Anolis sagrei: one gene and its partner. The protein of the gene in region 1 interacts with the protein of each later gene in a pairwise test. Links are inferred from orthologs where the notes say so. Each region holds a gene or a part of one and is shown in the gene's direction. Other genes may lie near its edges.

Region 1 (9,085 bases):
TTCTTGTATTTACAAATTTAGCACCAAAACATCGCAATGTAATGAAAAAGCTGTGGATCGGGCAGGAGGCAGACTGCGTTGGATAATACAGAACGTTGGATGAGCGAAGGTTGGATAAGTGAGACTCTACTGTTTAAAGATCCCCACATTTGGCCATAGTAATGGAATTGCCTGAGAGAAATCCCTTCTAGAACTTAAAAGCAAGATCTTTACACCAATGCCAATTGCCTCTCTAGCATACATTTCTGTTTGTTACTTGTGATATTTAATTTATGACTAATAATTCTTAAGATTCCACTGTGTGCAACCTAAGATGTTTTAAAAGAACTCAAGGCAGTTGAAGGGTGTGTTGGGAAAAAATGTCTCTTAAAATATGCAGAACTGAGATTGAACACTTGGATGACAATCTGGGCTTGGTCAGGAATACTGAGAACCCTATCTTTTACCCATCTCAGTTGGGAGAGCACCAAAACAGGAAACAGAGTTCAAACCTTATTTATCTACTAGCTTACTTGTTCTCCTTGATTTGTTTCTATGTTGAGTGAACTACTTTAAAAAAATCATTATACACATAATCTAAACTTCACCATTAAGACCACCAGTTGTCACTTGCAGATACCAATGTCTAGTTTGATTTCCATGTTCAGAGAGTATCCGATTATTTTAAGGCATGTTATCTGCCCCTTTTGTTTATGTGCTGACTCCACCCCCACCCCCACTGCCCACAAAAAAAAACAGTTTGTCATTTGACTGAAATAATTATGTTTTATGTTCAAGACAGCTCACCTCCATGTAGGAAATCATGGCATTTACTGGTAGATTTTATGCATTTATATGAACTATCTCCTCAAACTGGAACCTATGGCAACATACAAGTTTTAAACACAAAACATTTAAAGAGTAAAACACAAACTATAATATATAAAAACTATCCCATTCCTACTATTTTGGACAACTATATACCAGTAACTTATTTACCATTCATTACCAAGAACCTGGAATGGGTGGTGGCCAAACAACTCCAAAGATTTTTGGATAAAGCTGATTTTCTAGATCCATTTCAATCTGGATTCAGGCTGGGACATGTGATGGAAATAGCTTTAGTTGCCTTGAGTTGCCTTGAGAGCAGAGAGCTGGACAGGGGGAGTGTGACCCTGCCAGTCCTTCTGGATCTCTCAGCGGCTTTCAATACTATCAACCATGATATCCTTCTGGAGTGACTTGCGAGGATGGGACTGGGAGGCACAGTGTTGCAGTGGTTCGTCTTTCCTTTTGGGCCACCGCCAGAAGGTGGTGTCGGGTGGGGAGGTCCTGCTCAGCCCCATGGTCTGTGGACTGTGTGGTCCCGCAGGGCTCATCTTTATCCCCAATGTTGTTTAACATCTACATGAAACCACTGGGAGAGATCATCCAGAGGTTTGGAATTCAGTATCATCCATACGTGGATAATGCTAATCTCTATTACTCCTTTCCAACAGATGCCAAGGAAGTCGTTCCACACCTGAACCAATGCTTGAGGTTGGTAATGGACTGGATGAGGGTAAACAAATTGATGCTTATTCCAGATAAGATGGAGGTACTGCTGGCCTTGCGTAAGATTGATCCAGAAATAGGGTTACAACTTGAGCTGGATGGGGTTACACTCCCCCTGAAATCCCAGGTTTGGGGATGATTCTGGATTCTGCCTTAAATCTGGAAGCCCAGGTGGCAAGGTAACCAGGACTGCCTTTGCACAACTAAAACTTGTGTGCCAACTGCACCCATTCATGGAGAAATATGACTTGGTCACTGTGGTACATTTGGACTACTGTAATGTGCTCTACATGGGACTGCCCTTGAAAAGTGTTACTTACCAGGTTACTTATGGAAGTTGATTCCAGGAAGCACACCTGTTGAAACAGCTCCATTGGCTCCTGATTTGTTTCTGGGTCCAATTCAAGGTGCCGGTTTTAATCTATAAAGCCCTGCATGACTACCAGCCTGTATAGGGCGTCCGTGTCCCCGTATACGGGCCAGTAGACCTCTAAATTGTTTTTAAATTGTTTTTAAATGGTGTTCAATTTTAGCCTGTTCTTGTAAGCCGCTCTGAGCCCCAGGGGAGTGGCGGCATATAAGTTCAAATAATAAATAAATAAATAAGGTCTAGTAAGGAGACCCTGATTTTTACACAGTCCCTGGCCAACATCCACTTAAAAATCACTAGAGAAGGGACATTCTTGGGGGCGGCTTCTAAGTTGTGGAACTCACTGCCAGAGGAAATTAGATTGGTTCCCACCATCATGATATAAGAAAGACATGAAGACTTTCCTCTTCGAAGCAACTGAAGCCAGTAAAAATGAATTCAAAAGAATGGGAATTTTAGGCTAAAATTTACTTTTAATGTTTAATAATGAGGAAAGTTTTAAAGAATTAGTGAACCTCTAATATTTGTATAGTTATGGTTTTTAATTATTTGTATGTCTGATATAATGTGAGCCGCTTTGGGTTCATACTGGAGAAAGGCAGCATAGAAATTTCCGTAACAAATAAAATAAATACATTGAATTAAAAGCAATCCAACACACAATTAAAAAGCACCGAATCCTTCCTCAACAGTCATTAAAAGCTTGACCTGCTGACAAGGCTAGACAATCCCATATCAAATGTCTTGCTTGGCCCGATCTGCAGCTACTGCATTCTGCTGACTGTAATTACAGAGCTCTATTAGACTGGGAACCTTGTTTAACATGTAAGACTTAGTAATTATGTTCACTTAAACACATTGACACCACTTTTAGATGCCTTTCATATCAACATTTGGTGGGGAAGTGGAAAGGGCAGGTCAAAAGCGTGGTTCCTTGGTATTCTGTATGAGGCTTAGGAAAAATGAACTAGAACTAGATCCTCACAATTATCAAAATGGGTGTACCTACAATCAAGATGTCTTCAAAATAACATGTGAAGATGTTTATAGTGTCAAAGAGGGAGACAGCTTGCATAGCATCATCTGACACTGCTTCTCCTAGAGGAAATCCAAGAGATGACTCACTAGGACTCCTTCTACACTGCCATATAATCCAGATTATCAAAGCGGATAATCCACATTATCTGCTTTGAACTGGATTGTATGAGTTTACACTGGCATATAATCCAGTTCAAAACAGATAATCTGGATTTTATATGGAGGTGGAAGAGGCCTAGTTCCTGCATGAAAGACTATCTAATGAAGGAGAGTCTGTCCTTCCTACAGATGATCGGCTTTGTTTTTGAACAGCTCTTATCATGAAGAGGTTTTTTCCTGATGTTCAATTGAAATCTGTCCTCCTATAATTTGAAGACATTTACTCTAGTCTGTGGCAAAAATGATTTTGTGAATAACTTCAGGTCCTGGATTTTAATAGCTTGCAATTCTGGGAGCTGTTGCCTAAATCATGAAGTTGCAAAGTTCTGCAGTAACAAGACTGTTATCATTCCCATTCCCCTTCATCAGGATAAACATGACGAGTTCTTCAAACTTTTCACATAGGACTTCTTTTTGTTCTGCTGTCCATATGTGAAAATGTTCTTCCTTCCTTATGTTCCAATTCAGCTTTATCTGTCAGTCAGGGATGAGCACAGTATACTGTAGCCTCCATTGACCCTAGCCAGCATCACCAACCTGAGAGTTGCAGTCCAGCAGCATCTGTAAGGGCCCAATTTGCCTGTTCTAAATGTACAGTGCCCAAAATTGGATATTGTGCTACAGCAGAGTTCCCTATATGTCAGGAAAAAAGAGAGAAGAGAAATAGAAAGGGTAAACACAGAACAAAAAACCAAGTAGACTGGAGTGTCCAATATCCACAGATATCAACTCAAGATCTTCTGTTACATCATGCTGTGCAGGAAGGCATTCTTCCATTTCTAGCTTCAAGGCTGTTATTGGGGGACTGCTCTGATAAGCATATTAGCTGCAATATTGTCCTCCACTGTCTTCTTCTGTGAGTTTTTAATTCACACTTTGAATTCTTTGTGCTTTCATGAGGCACCCATGGTTCCTCATGCAGAAAATATTTTTCTCAGAATTTCTGATGCCAACTCTTGAGACATAAAAACTCTGTACTCCATGCAGATTGTAGGACACACTTACAACTGCTATAAAGTAGACATATGTTCAGCAATTCACACAGAAATACACATGTTTCATTCTACAAACACACTGAATACAATCTGATGATTATCTACACCATAGTTCAGGATTCTCGAAACCTATCTTTACAATTTCAGCAGTATGTATGTACACAGTACATACTGTGTATCTGATGAAACTATGGATAACATTGAATCCTATAGTTTACCAATACTTGGATCAGAAACATATAATAAAATAACACTGGAGAAGCTAGGGAGGTGCACAACACTTCCAGGACATTTGCTCTTTTTTTTCCCCTTCCCTTTTTTTGGTGCTGGTTATTGACCTTATTTATTTATATCCCGCTTTATCTCTGCTGCAATATTATTAGTAATATTATATTATTACATATGATTGTATTGTACTATATTACTCTACCACTCTCTACATGTATTGCCATGTTTAAGTAATAATGCTGATTTTGGTGCATCCTCCATATTTGTATTCTTATTCTTATTTATTTAAATACCCTTTTCCAAAATTGTTGTATAATTTTACAGGATCACTATATATGAAAATATGAGCCTATTTCCTGACAGCCTCTCCAGTACTGATTTAAGCATTTTTATCTATCTGATTTAATCTAATCGGGATCAAGTACCATATCCATACCGTTTTGTAATAGTTTTCCTTAATTATTATGGACATATTTTTATTTAGTAATCGCATACGCCATACCCTGGCCCATTCTTGGTTCTCCCACCGGTATATTACACGATTAGTATAATAAATATGTATGTTCCTGTGAAAAGGGCCTTGGGAGCGCTATGGATCCCAAACGGAACCTGAGCCAACAGAGGAATCTCGCGTTGTTTGAGGGAGAAACAGCTTGGGTGGCGTAGTCGAAGATCTCGGACTTGCCGGCCCCTTTAAGAAACGCGGTACTTATTTCCTCATTGGTCTGAGCCAGGACCAATCAAATTCCAGTTCTCTTCTCGCGCTTCAACCTGATTGGCTGCTTCCTTCCGGGCGTCAGCTCTGCTCTCCGCAAAATCTCCCTTCCGACTTCGGCATCTGTTGTAACCAGTAAAGCAGCTCGCCGCGCTCTCTTCGGGGTGGTGGATTCCCATTGGCTGAGCAGCGCGCGCATGCGCCGGCCGGGAAAAAGAAGCCTGAAACTCTCTTCCTTCCCGGAGGAGCCGCGGTCTGGGTTTGCCAGAGCCGTGACGTCACCTGGGTCCGCGCGACGCCTTCCTCGTGTCGCGTGCGTGCGTGCCTGGTGGCCCACCTGACCCCCCCCTCCCTCCCTCCCTCCCCCGCCTCGCGCGTTTTCTCCTCACCCAACATGGCGGCGGGGGCCGTGGAAGAGCCGTTCCCCTTCCAGGGGCTTCTTCCCAAAAAGGAGACCGGCGCGGCCGCCTTCCTCTCCCGCTACCCGGAGCATGACGGGCGGGGGGTGCTAGTGGCCATTTTGGACACGGGGGTAGACCCCGGCGCCCCGGGGATGCAGGTAAGCGGGGCGGGCGTGACCTGTTGGTGGGGCTGCTTTTGGCTTGTCTGAGGGAAGAAGTTTGGGATCAGGAGGGATTTATGATGACTTCTGAGGGCCTCTGTTTAGAGGAAAGTACAGTAGGGAATTTTCTTAGGCCCTCAGAGGAGTAATCGCGCTCATCAGCATCCAGTGCCTGAAATGGTCAGAATTTAGTCGTTTGTAGAAACGAGCCGCAACCACAGGGAAAGCCCTGCTGAATCCAGCCAAAGGCCTTTCAAGCCCAGCATCCTGTTTCTTACACAGATTGAGGGTTTTCTGAAATGCTTGGGAAATCCACCAGAAGTGTAGATTTGACCTTATATTTTATTAGTATCGGTGTCTGTCCTTGATCTGTGTATATTTAAATCTATGCACTTTTATCTGGGTTTTGCATTTTATCTGAGTTTTCACCATGCTGTACCCTGTCTCAAGCCATGAAAAGAACCGCATAACAAGGAAAATGTATTATTAATATGTGATTTCAGATTATTGTTGTTGTTGTTGTTGTTGTTATATGGATCTCCCGGTGGCACAATGGGTTAAACCCTTGTGCTGGCAGGACTGCTGACCGAAAGATCGGCGGTTTGAATCCAGGGAGTGGGGTGAGCACCTGTCTGTCAGCTCTAGCTCCCCGTGCAGGGACACAAGAGAAGCCTCCCACAGAATGGTAAAACATCAAATATATATATATTGGCATTGAATCTTGCCAATACTTTTTGTACACGGCTTTGAACCCCCCCCCCCCCAGGAGTGAGAATATAAATGCAGTAAATAGAGAAATATCCGGGTGTCCCCTGAGCAACATCCTTGCAGAAGGAAAAATCTCTCACACCAGAAGCGCCTTGCAATTTCCTAAGTTGTTCCTGACACAAAAACATTATTATTATTTTGGGTTACCTGTATTTATTCCCATCTACATGATGAAAGATTTCTGGGATGTGATCCAAACATAACATTCATTTATGCATGTTATGTTTAAACACATAGCCTGGGGGTAATTGTATATGCTACATTTGTAATAATTTAGTGCATGGAACAAAGCTTGTGTACACTGAACCATCAGGAAACAAAGGTGTCACTATTTCAGCTTCCCATGTGGATGATTTTGCATCTCAGAGTATTTTGGAATCCCAGAGAAAGCATGCTCATGATGTCTGTAGTGGGAAGCTTGCAAGCATAACGTGAATTGTCTTGTTTTGTAGTGTCCTCTGAAATTGTTTCTTTGGATACAATACCACTGAATTGTTGAGGTAGCACATTATGTTTGGAGGCACTAACAGAATTATTGTTGTAATTGAAATAAAGGTTCTGCAGGAACCTGGTTTATTGTGCATATGTAAGCAAATCATAGATTTAGCATGACATCCAGAGCCGATAGGATAGAGGTTTCCAAATATTTCATGTTGGTGACACACGTTTTAAACACATATCATTTTGTGACACAGTAATTCAGTTTTACTATCAAACCGGAGTTTAAACCAATTCCTGATAAGAGATACAGGTACATACATAATTTGGAATAACAAAATGTATATCTCATATTTATTTTTATTTCACATAAACACAGAGGTTTCTCATTATTTTCGTGCAACACATTTACACACTACAACCAACACATAGTTTGGAAAGTTCTGCAATAGAAGAATACTTTTCGAACTTGAAATACTTTTGCCCCAAATATCTGATCACCTCAATTAACCTTTTGGCAGGTGTTGGCAGAGGACTGCATTGACATTTGGCTTCCTCTGGTTCTATAGGCTTCATTTTGTTCATTCCTGTGCTGAACATATCCTGAAAGCCATGTTTTCTTTGCTTACTTTCAGCAAGTGAGTGCTTTTGGACCAAAGGATTCAGTATGCTAGTTCATGTATAACTAGCTTGGATTCTGCTACTGATAGTGGTGTCTGCAAAAGCCTGTAGAATGGTAGAAAACAAATGTCTTTTTTAATGGCAAAATGAAATCACTTGGGTTTGTTGCAGTGGAAGAGCTTGTGGTTGCATTAAGATACTTGAAGAATGACCAGAAATTTTGTTTTGGAGCAGATTTAAAAATGTATCATTTTTTAGTTGTAGGAATGCCACCCTCTCGTAAACACTTTATTCATCTTCCTAAAGAAAATCATTCCACAACAATCTGTTCATTTTTCCTTCTATTTTTAAATGGCATCTTGGAGAGGGAGGATATTTTATAGACTTTCACAAATCTATGTGATTTCATTTCAGTGAGCAAAAGCAAACCAGTTCTTTCTTAGTAGGGATTGGGTCATATCCTCTAACTATAGTTATGCTTACTGTGTATTATGAATGAGGATTTTTTGTAGTGTTAGCTGCTAATCAGAATTAGATCAAGGGAACACCTTGTTTACACCCTGAGGAGGAAGGAGTATACATTTTTTAATATGTGGGAGCATGACACCAAAGGATGTTTGCTTTTGTGAAGTCAGTGTTCAGGCAGCAGTGATGATTATAATGTTTGCCACTTATAAGGGTGGATAATACATTAGATGTGCTATTAAAGAAAAGTATTTCTGCCTGTAAATGGACTGACATTACTGTATATAGTGTGTAAGTTAACCTCTTGTGTAAGTTGAGGGCAGATTTAATTATGGATTTTGATTTCATATGATCTGTGGATAAGTTGAGGGTCATTCTGGGAAGAGAGATAAAGCACCAAGTGCCTCATTGAGATCAGCTGCCAGTGGCTGTCACTACCATTTTACCACCCAGGAATTCAAATAGGCCTGATCTATTACTAGATATTTATTAGGTCTGTTGGTTTACTTGTGGTTTTGCTGCAGTTTATCTCAGGGATAGTATGAGCTCCTTCCCTTTTTGGCTGCCAAGAGCGGGAAGGTAGCAGTTTACTTGTGAGTAAGCAAATCGACCATCTCGCCTCAGTTGCCTAGGCTTATCTCCTATCTCAACTGTTGCTCCAATTGCTGTTGCTTTCCCCTGCTCAGATCAGAAGACCCTGGGCTCACACTTCTATTCCGGCCCTGTCTTTTGTGATAGGTGGCAATGCACTCCTCTGTCTCCCATGTTGCAGGACAGCCATGGAGACTCAAGGGCTATCAGCTGCATTCTATAGTGAGAAGAGCTCTAAGTTCGGTTCTGCCAGCATGGTGAGTCCTCCAAAGCTAGAGAATCAAAGCAGGAGTACTAGTTTAAGACGTCTCGTTGGTTACGAATGGGATGGTGGCAATGGGTAAAGAAAATCAGCATGAGTAAAGGAGACGTAATCTTCCATTTGCTTATTCATGAGTAAAACACCTCTTTCGTCCTTTGAGCGGCCCAGAGGGACCTTAATTTGTCTCTGAAAAACCTCAGAAAAGAACTGCCCACCTCTACTCTTTTTAGTGCTGAATTGGCAAAGAGCTGCCACCTCCATAATTTTTCAGTCCAGAAGGCTTGAAGTATTGCTGCGATGGAGATCCATGTTTAAATTGACTCATGTTTTCTGGATCATT
Region 2 (8,959 bases), on another chromosome or scaffold:
ACTCAGGTATGTTGGACGAGTAAGCTTAATAACAAAAGACCCTCCTCATAAATGTACAGCAGTGTGAATCAGTAGCTCAAAGTGAGATAAAGAACAAAAACACGCAGACCAATGAAGAGAGGGGCCATGAAGCCAGTTCCAACTTGTCTCCAGTGTCATCAGTTGGGAGCCCCCTCTCCCCCAAGAACCAACTGCTGCTCTGAGATCAGAATGAAGAGACGGGCCATGAAGACAGTTCCAACTTGTCTCCAGTGTTATCAGTTGGGAGCCCTCACCCTCCAGCAACAACCGCTGCTCTGAGATCAGAATGAAGAGAGGGGCCATGAAGGCAGTTCCAAATTGCCTCCAGTGTCATCAGTTGAGAGCCCCCCCCCCCCCCAAGAACCAACTGCTGCTTTGAGATCAGAATGAAGAGAGGGGCCATGAAGACAGTTCCAACTTGCCTCCTGTGTCACCAGTTGGGGACCCCCCCCCCCCCCAAAAAAAACCAACTGCAGCTCTGAGATCAGAATGAAGGGACGAGCCATGGAAGCAGTTCCAACTTGTCTCCAGTGTCATCAGTTGGGAGCCCCCCCCCCCCCCAAGAAACCAACTGCTGCTCTGAGATCAGAATGAAGAGAGGGGCCTTCCTAGGCAGTTCCATCTTGTCTCCTGCACTGTGCTTATAATATAATATATTGTATATACATATATTGATAATATTGTAATGTATTAAATGTAATATTACTAATAATACTACAGTATAATGTTACAGTACAATATACTATATTTATCTAAAACTTTTATATCCCGATCTTCTCAACCTCCATAGATAATAATAATATATCGTATTTACTTTTTACTTGTAAGCTGCTCTGAGTCCCCTTCGGGGTAAGAAGGGCGGCATATAAATGTCGTAAATAAATAAATAAAATCTCTTCCACAGGAGGCTTTTGTTTGTAGTAAAATATAGGAATGCACTATTTAAAATAACAAGTTTTCCAAATAAACACAAATAAAGTTCTTTATACTTCCTTCTTTGCTTCCACCCTGGGCTTCTTTCTCATGCAGATAAACAGCTTCTAGTTTCACTCTCACAGAGCTTCCTCCCACGCCAAACTTACACGAGAGCTTCAACAGTAGCTTCACGCACAGCAGCCTTCACACTGGAGCTTCACCCACAATGGCTTTCAACCTAGGGCTTCCTCTCACTGAAGCTTCTCACACCAGGCCCACTCACACTGAGGCCTACTCCTACAAAGGCCTTCTCATACTGAGGCCTCTCTCACTCTGAGGGGTAAAGGCTACAGGCTGAGTTGCTATGGGTTTAGTCTTCTCACAAAAAATACTCCAAGACTCACAGGAGTTAAAGATACTCATGAGAAGTATCCATAGCAACACAAAGTTGATGCAAAGAGCCATTGCATGGGACCATACTTGGACATGCTTTATGCCAAAGACTAACAGTGCAATTCTGCTCTAGCAAGGGCATAAAGGTGTCCTGATGCTCCTACGTAACTGCTGCTTTTATTCCCTGCTTTGGGAATCTCTTGAAACAAATCAAGTAAAAAAGCACAAGAAAATGGCAACCATGACATTGTTTGGGAAAATAAGAGAGCAACTTACTTCTTCTGCAGCAAATTTCAAGACAGCCGTGAACGGTGTGACTTCAGGCACGCTCAGTCTACAGGAAACCGGAAATAACACAACTGTGAGACCAGAACACAAATCATGGGATCATGGAGTAGCTGTTTCACAGGGCCTTGAGCCTTCTCTGCCTAAGAGTGCCTGTGCCTCACCAAACTACAGCTTCCTGCATCCCACAGCATTGAGATTTGGCAGCTCAAGTGGTGTTAAACTGCATTAATCCCACAGTGAAGGGGGCAATGGGCACCTATTTAATTTGATTAATAAATAGCAATGGTATGAGGAATAGTTTGGGCAAATAAATAGCCTTAGTCTTTAGTGTTAGAATCTGGCATGAGAAAAACAGCCTGACAGGAAAATAAAACACAAACAAAAAACAGGCCCAGCAATAAACAGGCCATCACCCTTTTTAGAGATACAAAAGGAGACATCAGTTGAAAGTCTGGAATGCCAAACTGCATTAAATCACTACTGACCAAGTAGCCAGCTGCATTAAATCACTACTGAACAAGAGGTCATGACTTCGAAGCCAGCCCGGGTCAGAGTGAGCTCCCAACCATTAATAGTCTAGTTTGCTGTTGACTTATGCAGCCCAAATACAGTTGCATCTGTCAAGTAGAAAATTTAGGTACCACTTTATGCGGGGAGGCTAACTTAACTAATTTACCACACCATAAAACCTTCCAGCAGTGTGCATAAGAATGAGGAAGTACTCCATCAAGGACTCGGTGTTACAAGCGAATGGTGAAGCGGCAGCTCCCCCTGTGGTCGGAATCAAGCATACCCTCATGAAGCCAGAAAGCTGGAATGTTAAATTGTCTATGTCTGTCTATATATGTTGCATGTCTAAAGGCATTGAATGTTTGCCATGTAAATGTGCCTTGTAATCCACCCTGAGTCCCTTGTGGGGTGAAAAGGTTGGAATACTGTAAATAAATAAATAAACGAACTATTGGTGGGTTGTTGTAGGTTTTTTCGGGCTGTATGGCCATGGTCTAGAGGCATTCTCTCCTGACATTTCGCCTGCATCTATGGCAAGCATCCTCAGAGGTAGTGAGGTCTGTTGGAACTAGGAAAAAGGGGTTTATCTATCTGTGGAATGACCAGGGTGGGACAAAGGACTCTTGTCTGCCGGCCATAGGTTCTTAAATCCTTGTGTGCTACAGTTTATTGGTTATTGTTTATATGTGATTTATATTAATTGTATTGTGTTTATTGTTTTGTTTGTTGCTTTTGTTTTTATTGATGTGTCGTTGGGCTTGGCCTCATGTAAGCTGCTCCAAGTCCCTTGGGGAGATGGTGGCGGGGTATAAATAATAGAATCACCCCCGACAGATGGCCATCCAGCCTCTGTTTAAAAGCTTCCAAAGAAGGAGCCTCCACCACACTCCAGGGCAGAGAGTTCCACTGCTGAACAGATCTCAGCCAGGAACTTCTTCCTAATGTTCAGTTGGAATCTCCTTTTTTGTAGTTTGAAGCCATTGTTCTGCATCCTCGTCTCCAGGGAAGCAGAAAACAAGCTTGCTTCCTCCTCCCTGTGGCTTCCTCTCCCATATTTATACATGGCCCCCATGTCTCCTCTCAGCCTCCTCTTCTTAAGGCTAAACATGCCCAGCTCCTTAAGCCGCTCCTCATAGGGCTTGTTCTCCAGACCCTTGATCATTTTAGTCGCCCTCCTCTGGACACATTCCAGCTTGTCAATATCTCTCTTGAATTGTGGTGCCCAGAATTGGACACAATATTCCAGGTGTGGTCTAACCAAGGCAGAATAGACGGTTAGCATGACTTCCCTGGATCTAGACACTAGAATCATAGAATCCTAGAGAAAATGTTTTCTTTATGTCGTCGCTATCCGAATATTTTGATTATCGTATTAATATTAATCTTCATTTTTTCCTGCAAGTACTTTTTGAGTTGGTTCCAATTGGTTTGATTTTCCTTTTTCTGATTTTTAATTAGCTGTGACAGTCTATCCATATTCATAAATTCTCCAATCTTGGAGAGCCAATTCTCTATTATTGGGGGGTCTTTGTCTTTCCATTTTGGGGCGATCGTAATTCTCGCTGCGGCTGTGAGATAAAAAAGAATTTCTTCGTTTTTCCCAATTTCAAAATCCATTATATTCAACAGGTAGTATTCGGGTTTCAATTCGTATTTTATTTTGATAATATTTTTACAGGGCCTGTGGATTGTTATCCAGTATTTCTTAATGATCTTACAATCCCACCACATGTGGTGGTATGATCCCATTTCTCTTTCGCATTTCATAGAATCATAGAATCGAAGAGTTGGAAGAGACCTCATGGGCCATCCAGTCCAACCCCCTGCCAAGAAGCAGGAACATTGCATTCAAATCACCCCTGACAGATGGCCATCCAGCCTCTGTTTAAAAGCTCCCAAAGAAGGAGCCTCCACCACTCTCCGGGGCAGAGAGTTCCACTGCTGAACGGCTTTATAATAATAATAATAATAATAATAATAATAAAGTTTTTTTATTATTATAAAGAAATTGGAAGGAATAGAAGAGGAAGAGGAGGAAGGAAGGAAGGAGAGAATGAAAGAAAAAAAGGGAGGGAAAGAAGGATAGAAAGAAAGGAGGAAAGAAAGAAAAGAGAGGGGATGGTTGGCCACAGCAAGGCGTGGCGGAGGGGGGGGGGTAAAGCTAGTAATAATAATAAAAACTTTAACATTATAGACCAGTGATTCTCAACCTGGGGTCCCCAGATGTTTTTGACCTACAACTCCCAGAAATCCCAGCCAGTGTAGCAGCTGTTAGGATTTCTGGGAGTTGAAGGCCAAAAACATCTGGGGACCCCAGGTTGAGAACCACTGTTGTAGACTGATTCTACAGGTTGCCGGAAGTGACAACTCACAGCCTTCTATCTCTCTCTCTCCCGCCCCTCCCTCTGGAAAGCGACGTGTCCAATGCACCTCCCGCGCATGCGCAGTGCCCTCCCCAGGCGTCTCCCTTCCCTCAGGTCTCAGGGACTCACACTTTGTAAGGCAGCCGCGGGTCGGAGGTGAGCGTGACTTTGAACGTGACTTTGGACCTGTGGGAAAGGCGGAGAGGAAAGGCGTCAGCGTGGCCGAGAAAGAGCCGCCAAACGGAGAGAAAAGCTGCCCGCGGACTCACATTTTGATCGCCTCCGGCTGCTGCAGGGCCCACTTCCCGGCTCCGCGTGCTTCGTCACTTCCGGGGGTGTGTTTTTTCTCCTGTCAGGCCTTCCCACGTGACCTAACGCAGGGAGGGGCGGGGCTCTCTAGCCAAAGAGAGATTGAGAAGCTGCACCGGAAGTGGGGCGGGGCCAAGCCCGGAAGTGGTCGTGGCCAAGCCCGGAAGTGGGCATCATCAGAGCGCTGGAGGGCTTCCCGTCGCCATGAGCAAGAGGAAAGCCCCTCAGGAAAACCCCAACGACGGTATCACCGACTTCCTCACCGGTAGGTGGGCCTCAGGACGAAGACCAGCCCCGTGCATCAATAGGAGTGTGGTGGAGGCTCCTCCTTTCATAGAATCAAAGAGTTGGAAGAGCTGGAAGCCATCTGTCGGGAGGGATCAGATGTTGTTCTTCTACCTGGAATAGAATAATAGAATCGTAGGGTTGGAAGAGACCTCATGGGCCATCCAGTCCAACCCCCTGCCAAGAAGCAGGAATATTGCATTCAAATCACCCCTGACAGATGGCCATCCTGCCTCTCTTTAAAAGCTTCCAAAGAAGGAGCCTCCACCACACTCCGGGGCAGAGAGTTCCACTGCTGAACGGCTCTCACAGTCAGGAAGTTCTTCCTCATGCTCAGGTGGAATCTCCTTTTTTTGTAGTTTGAAGCCATTGTTCCATGTCCTAGTCTCCAGTGAAGCAGAAAACAAGCTTGCTCCCTCCTCCCTGTGGCTTCCTCTCACATATTTATAAATGGCTATCATATCTCCTCTCATCCTTCTCTTCTTCAGGTTAAACTTGCCCAGCTCCTTAAGCCGCTCCTCATAAGGCTTGTTCTCCAGACCCTTGATCATTTGAGTCACCCTCCTCTGGACACATTCCAGCTTGTCAATATCTCTCTTGAATTGTGGTGCCCAGAATTGGACACAATATTCCAGGTGTGGTCTAACCAAAGCGGATTAGAGCATGGGGAGCATGACTTCCCTAGATCTAGACACTAGACTCCTATTGATGCAGGCCAAAATCCCATTGGCTTTTTTTGCCGCCACATCACATTGTTGGCTCATATTTAACTTGTTGTCCACGAAGACTCCAAGATCTTTTTCACACGTACTGCTCTCAAGCCAGGCATTGTCCCCCATTTTGTATCTTTGCATTTCATTTTTTATGCCTAAGTGGAGTATCTTTCATTTGTCACTGTTGAACTTCATTTTGTTAGTTTTCTAATCTGTGTCTAATCTGTCAAGATCGTATTGAATCCTGCTCCTGTCCTCTGGACTATTGGCTATCCCTCCCAATTTGATGTTGTTTGCAAACTTGATGAACCTGCCTTCTAATCCTTGATCTAAGTCATTAATAAAGATGCTGAACAGGACCGGGCCCAGGACGGAACCCTGCTGATGGCACTCTGCTCGTCACTTATTTCCAGGATGAAGAGGAAGCATTGGGGAGAATCACCCTCTGGGTTTGTCCATTTAACCAATTACTGATCCACCTCACCGCAATTTTGCCTAACCCACATTGGACTAGTGGGGGCTTTTAAACAGAGGCTGGATGGCCATCTGTCAGGGGTGCTTTGAATGCAATATTCCTGCTTCTTGGTAGGGGGTTGGACTGGGTTGCCCATGAGGTCTCTTCCAACTCTAGGATTCTATTATTTTAGTGTCTAGATCCAGGGAAGTAATGCTCCCCATGCTCTTTTCTGCCTTGGTTAGACCACACCTGGAATATTGTGTCCAATTCTGGCCACCACAACTGAAGAGAGATATTGACACTCTAAAATAATCAAGGGTCTGGAGAACAAGCCCTATGAGGAGCAGCTTAAGGAGCTGGGCATGTTTAGCCTGAAGAAGAGAAGGCTGAGAGGAGACATGATAGCCATGTATAAATATGTGAGAGGAAGCCACAGGGAGGAGGGAGCAAGCTTGTTTTCTGCTTCCCTGTAGACTAGGATGCGGAACAATGGCTTCAAACTACAAGAGAGGAGATTTCATCTGAACATGAGGAAGAAATTCCTGACTGTGAGAGCTGTTTAGCAGTGGAACTCTCTGCCCTGGAGTGTGGTGGAGACTTCTTCTTTGGAAGCTTTTAAACAGAGGCTGGATGGCCATCTGTCAGGGGTACTTTGAATGCAATATTCCTGCTTTTTGGCAGGGGGTTGGACTGGATGGCCCATGAGATCTTTTCCAACTCTATGACTCTATGTGGGCTGGACAATGAGGTCGATCTGCCATAGGTTAAGCGACCGAACCCAAAGGGCGCTTCTCCCCAATGGCACCGGGATTGTGGCGCAGCTGGCTGAGTGTCAGCTGCATTAAGATCACTCTGACCAAAAGGTCATGAGTTCGAAGCCAGCCCGGGTTGGAATGGGTTTCCAACCAATTGTGTGTAGCCTGTTGTCGAGCTTTGCAACCCAAAAGACAGTTGCATCTGTCAAGTAGGAAAATAAGGTATCACCTTAAAGTGTGGGGAGGCTAAATTAACTGATTTATGAGCCATAAAGAAGACTCCAGCAAAGCATTCCAGCGGGGAAGCATGCGGGGAATGCGGAAGTGCTTCATCAGCATCGCAGATGGACGATGAAAGCGACAGCTTCCCTGGTGGCCAGAAAAAGTTAAATAGCCTCTGTATATGTCTGTATATGTTTGTATGTCAAAAAATTGGCATTGAATGTTTGCCATATATGTGTACACTGTAATCCGCCCTGAGTCCCCTGCGGGGTGAGAAGGGAGGAATATAAAAGCCGTTATAAATAAATAAATAAATAAATAATTAAATGGTTCCTCCTCTTCATCCTGGAAAGACGGGACTAGTGGAGTGCCAGGAAGAGGGTCCTGTCCTGGGCCCAGTTCTGCTCAACATCTTTATTAATGGCTTAGATGAAGGTACCTGTTGTTGTATTCTTTACTGCCACTTACATTTTTTGCAACAAATCCTCTTTTCAGAACTGGCCAACTATGAGAGAAATGTGAACAGAGCCATCCACAAATACAATGCTTACAGGTGAGGTCTCCATGACGGGAGGGAAGGAAGTATTTTAGGTTTTGATGGGAATATTGCTGCCAAAAAAAATGTTAGAAGAAAAGAACATCATATTTGTCCCTTTTCTTTTACAATTTGACTACCTGTCTGATACTGTTGCATTGTGTCAAGGGCAGCCTCCTTTAATCTGATACCAGTCTCTGTCTCTCCATCTCCTTTGGTGTAGTCTTGCAAGAAGGAAACGGCATACAGGAGGAACTTGATTTCACCTCTTATCCATGGAGAGGCAGGTTCTTCATTACCATATATACTAAAGTATAAGTCAACCCGAATATAAACAGAGGTTCCTAATTTTAGCACAAAAAACTGGAAAAACGTATTGACTCAAATATAAGCTGAGAGTGGGAAATACAGCAACTACTGGTAAATTTCAAAATAAAAATAGATACCAATAAAATTACTTTAATTGAGGGCTCAATAGGATAAATGTTTTTGAATATTTACATAAAATTGTAATTTAAGATAAGACTCTCCAACTCTGATTTAAACCATTATTCTAACCTTCTTCAGTGTGAATGTTCTTACATATCCTTCCAGTAAAGACAGTAAAATAATAAATGTGACAATAATAATAAGAGTAAAATAATGGAAATGTAATAATAACACTAAGATGGCGGCATGGTAGGAGCAGCGAACCTTAGCTCCGGCAGAGGAAAGAAGTTTAACCAACCAAACCTTGCCGCCTGGGCCATAAAAAAAAAACCGCTCCTATAGCTGTCAAACCAGGGTCACGAAGGTGGCCTTGGGGAAGCAACTGAAGGAGCGCTGAAGGAACGCCGACAGAGGCAGAACTGGAAAGAAGAAGGAGGTAGAGCGGCTAGCCACCATTGCAGCTCGTGGGCTTACAAACTTGCTCCCTCCCTGCTCCTCACTCCCCTGGACTGCATGTTTGTCCCCTGCTGACCTGCTCCGGCGTTTCGGACGGGTTTGAGGCCGCTCGGGTGGAGGACGGGTGCCATCCTTTGTGCCCGCTCGGGGACACGTTCCGCCACGTCGGGCCCGGGGTCGAGGACGCGCCGGACCGAGGACGCGCCGTGCCGCCGGTCGGTGCCTGGCTGCTGACTGCGGTGGGTGGCTCCGTAGCTTTGCCTGGCTGCTGACTGCGGTGCCTGGCTGCTGACTCCGGTGCCTGGCTG

The links.
Region 2: the proteins of TPP2 (region 1) and POLB interact in binary tests that used the Homo sapiens proteins (3 or more experiments, as listed by UniProt). The two-hybrid records come from large-scale screens. The link is inferred for Anolis sagrei from reciprocal best matches to the Homo sapiens genes TPP2 and POLB.

The regions. Positions count from the first base shown.
Region 1 is NC_090023.1:113,553,602-113,562,686, reverse strand, and holds the start of TPP2 (tripeptidyl-peptidase 2), read left to right. Parts: upstream 1-5,161; 5' UTR 5,162-5,432; coding exon 5,433-5,597; intron 5,598-9,085. UniProt on the Homo sapiens protein: Cytosolic tripeptidyl-peptidase that releases N-terminal tripeptides from polypeptides and is a component of the proteolytic cascade acting downstream of the 26S proteasome in the ubiquitin-proteasome pathway.
Region 2 is NC_090027.1:22,804,487-22,813,445, forward strand, and holds the start of POLB (DNA polymerase beta), read left to right. Parts: upstream 1-4,906; 5' UTR 4,907-5,003; coding exon 5,004-5,064; intron 5,065-7,726; coding exon 7,727-7,784; intron 7,785-8,959. Other genes in the region: UFM1 (ubiquitin-fold modifier 1), read right to left, coding at 1,606-1,663, 4,620-4,676, 4,760-4,761.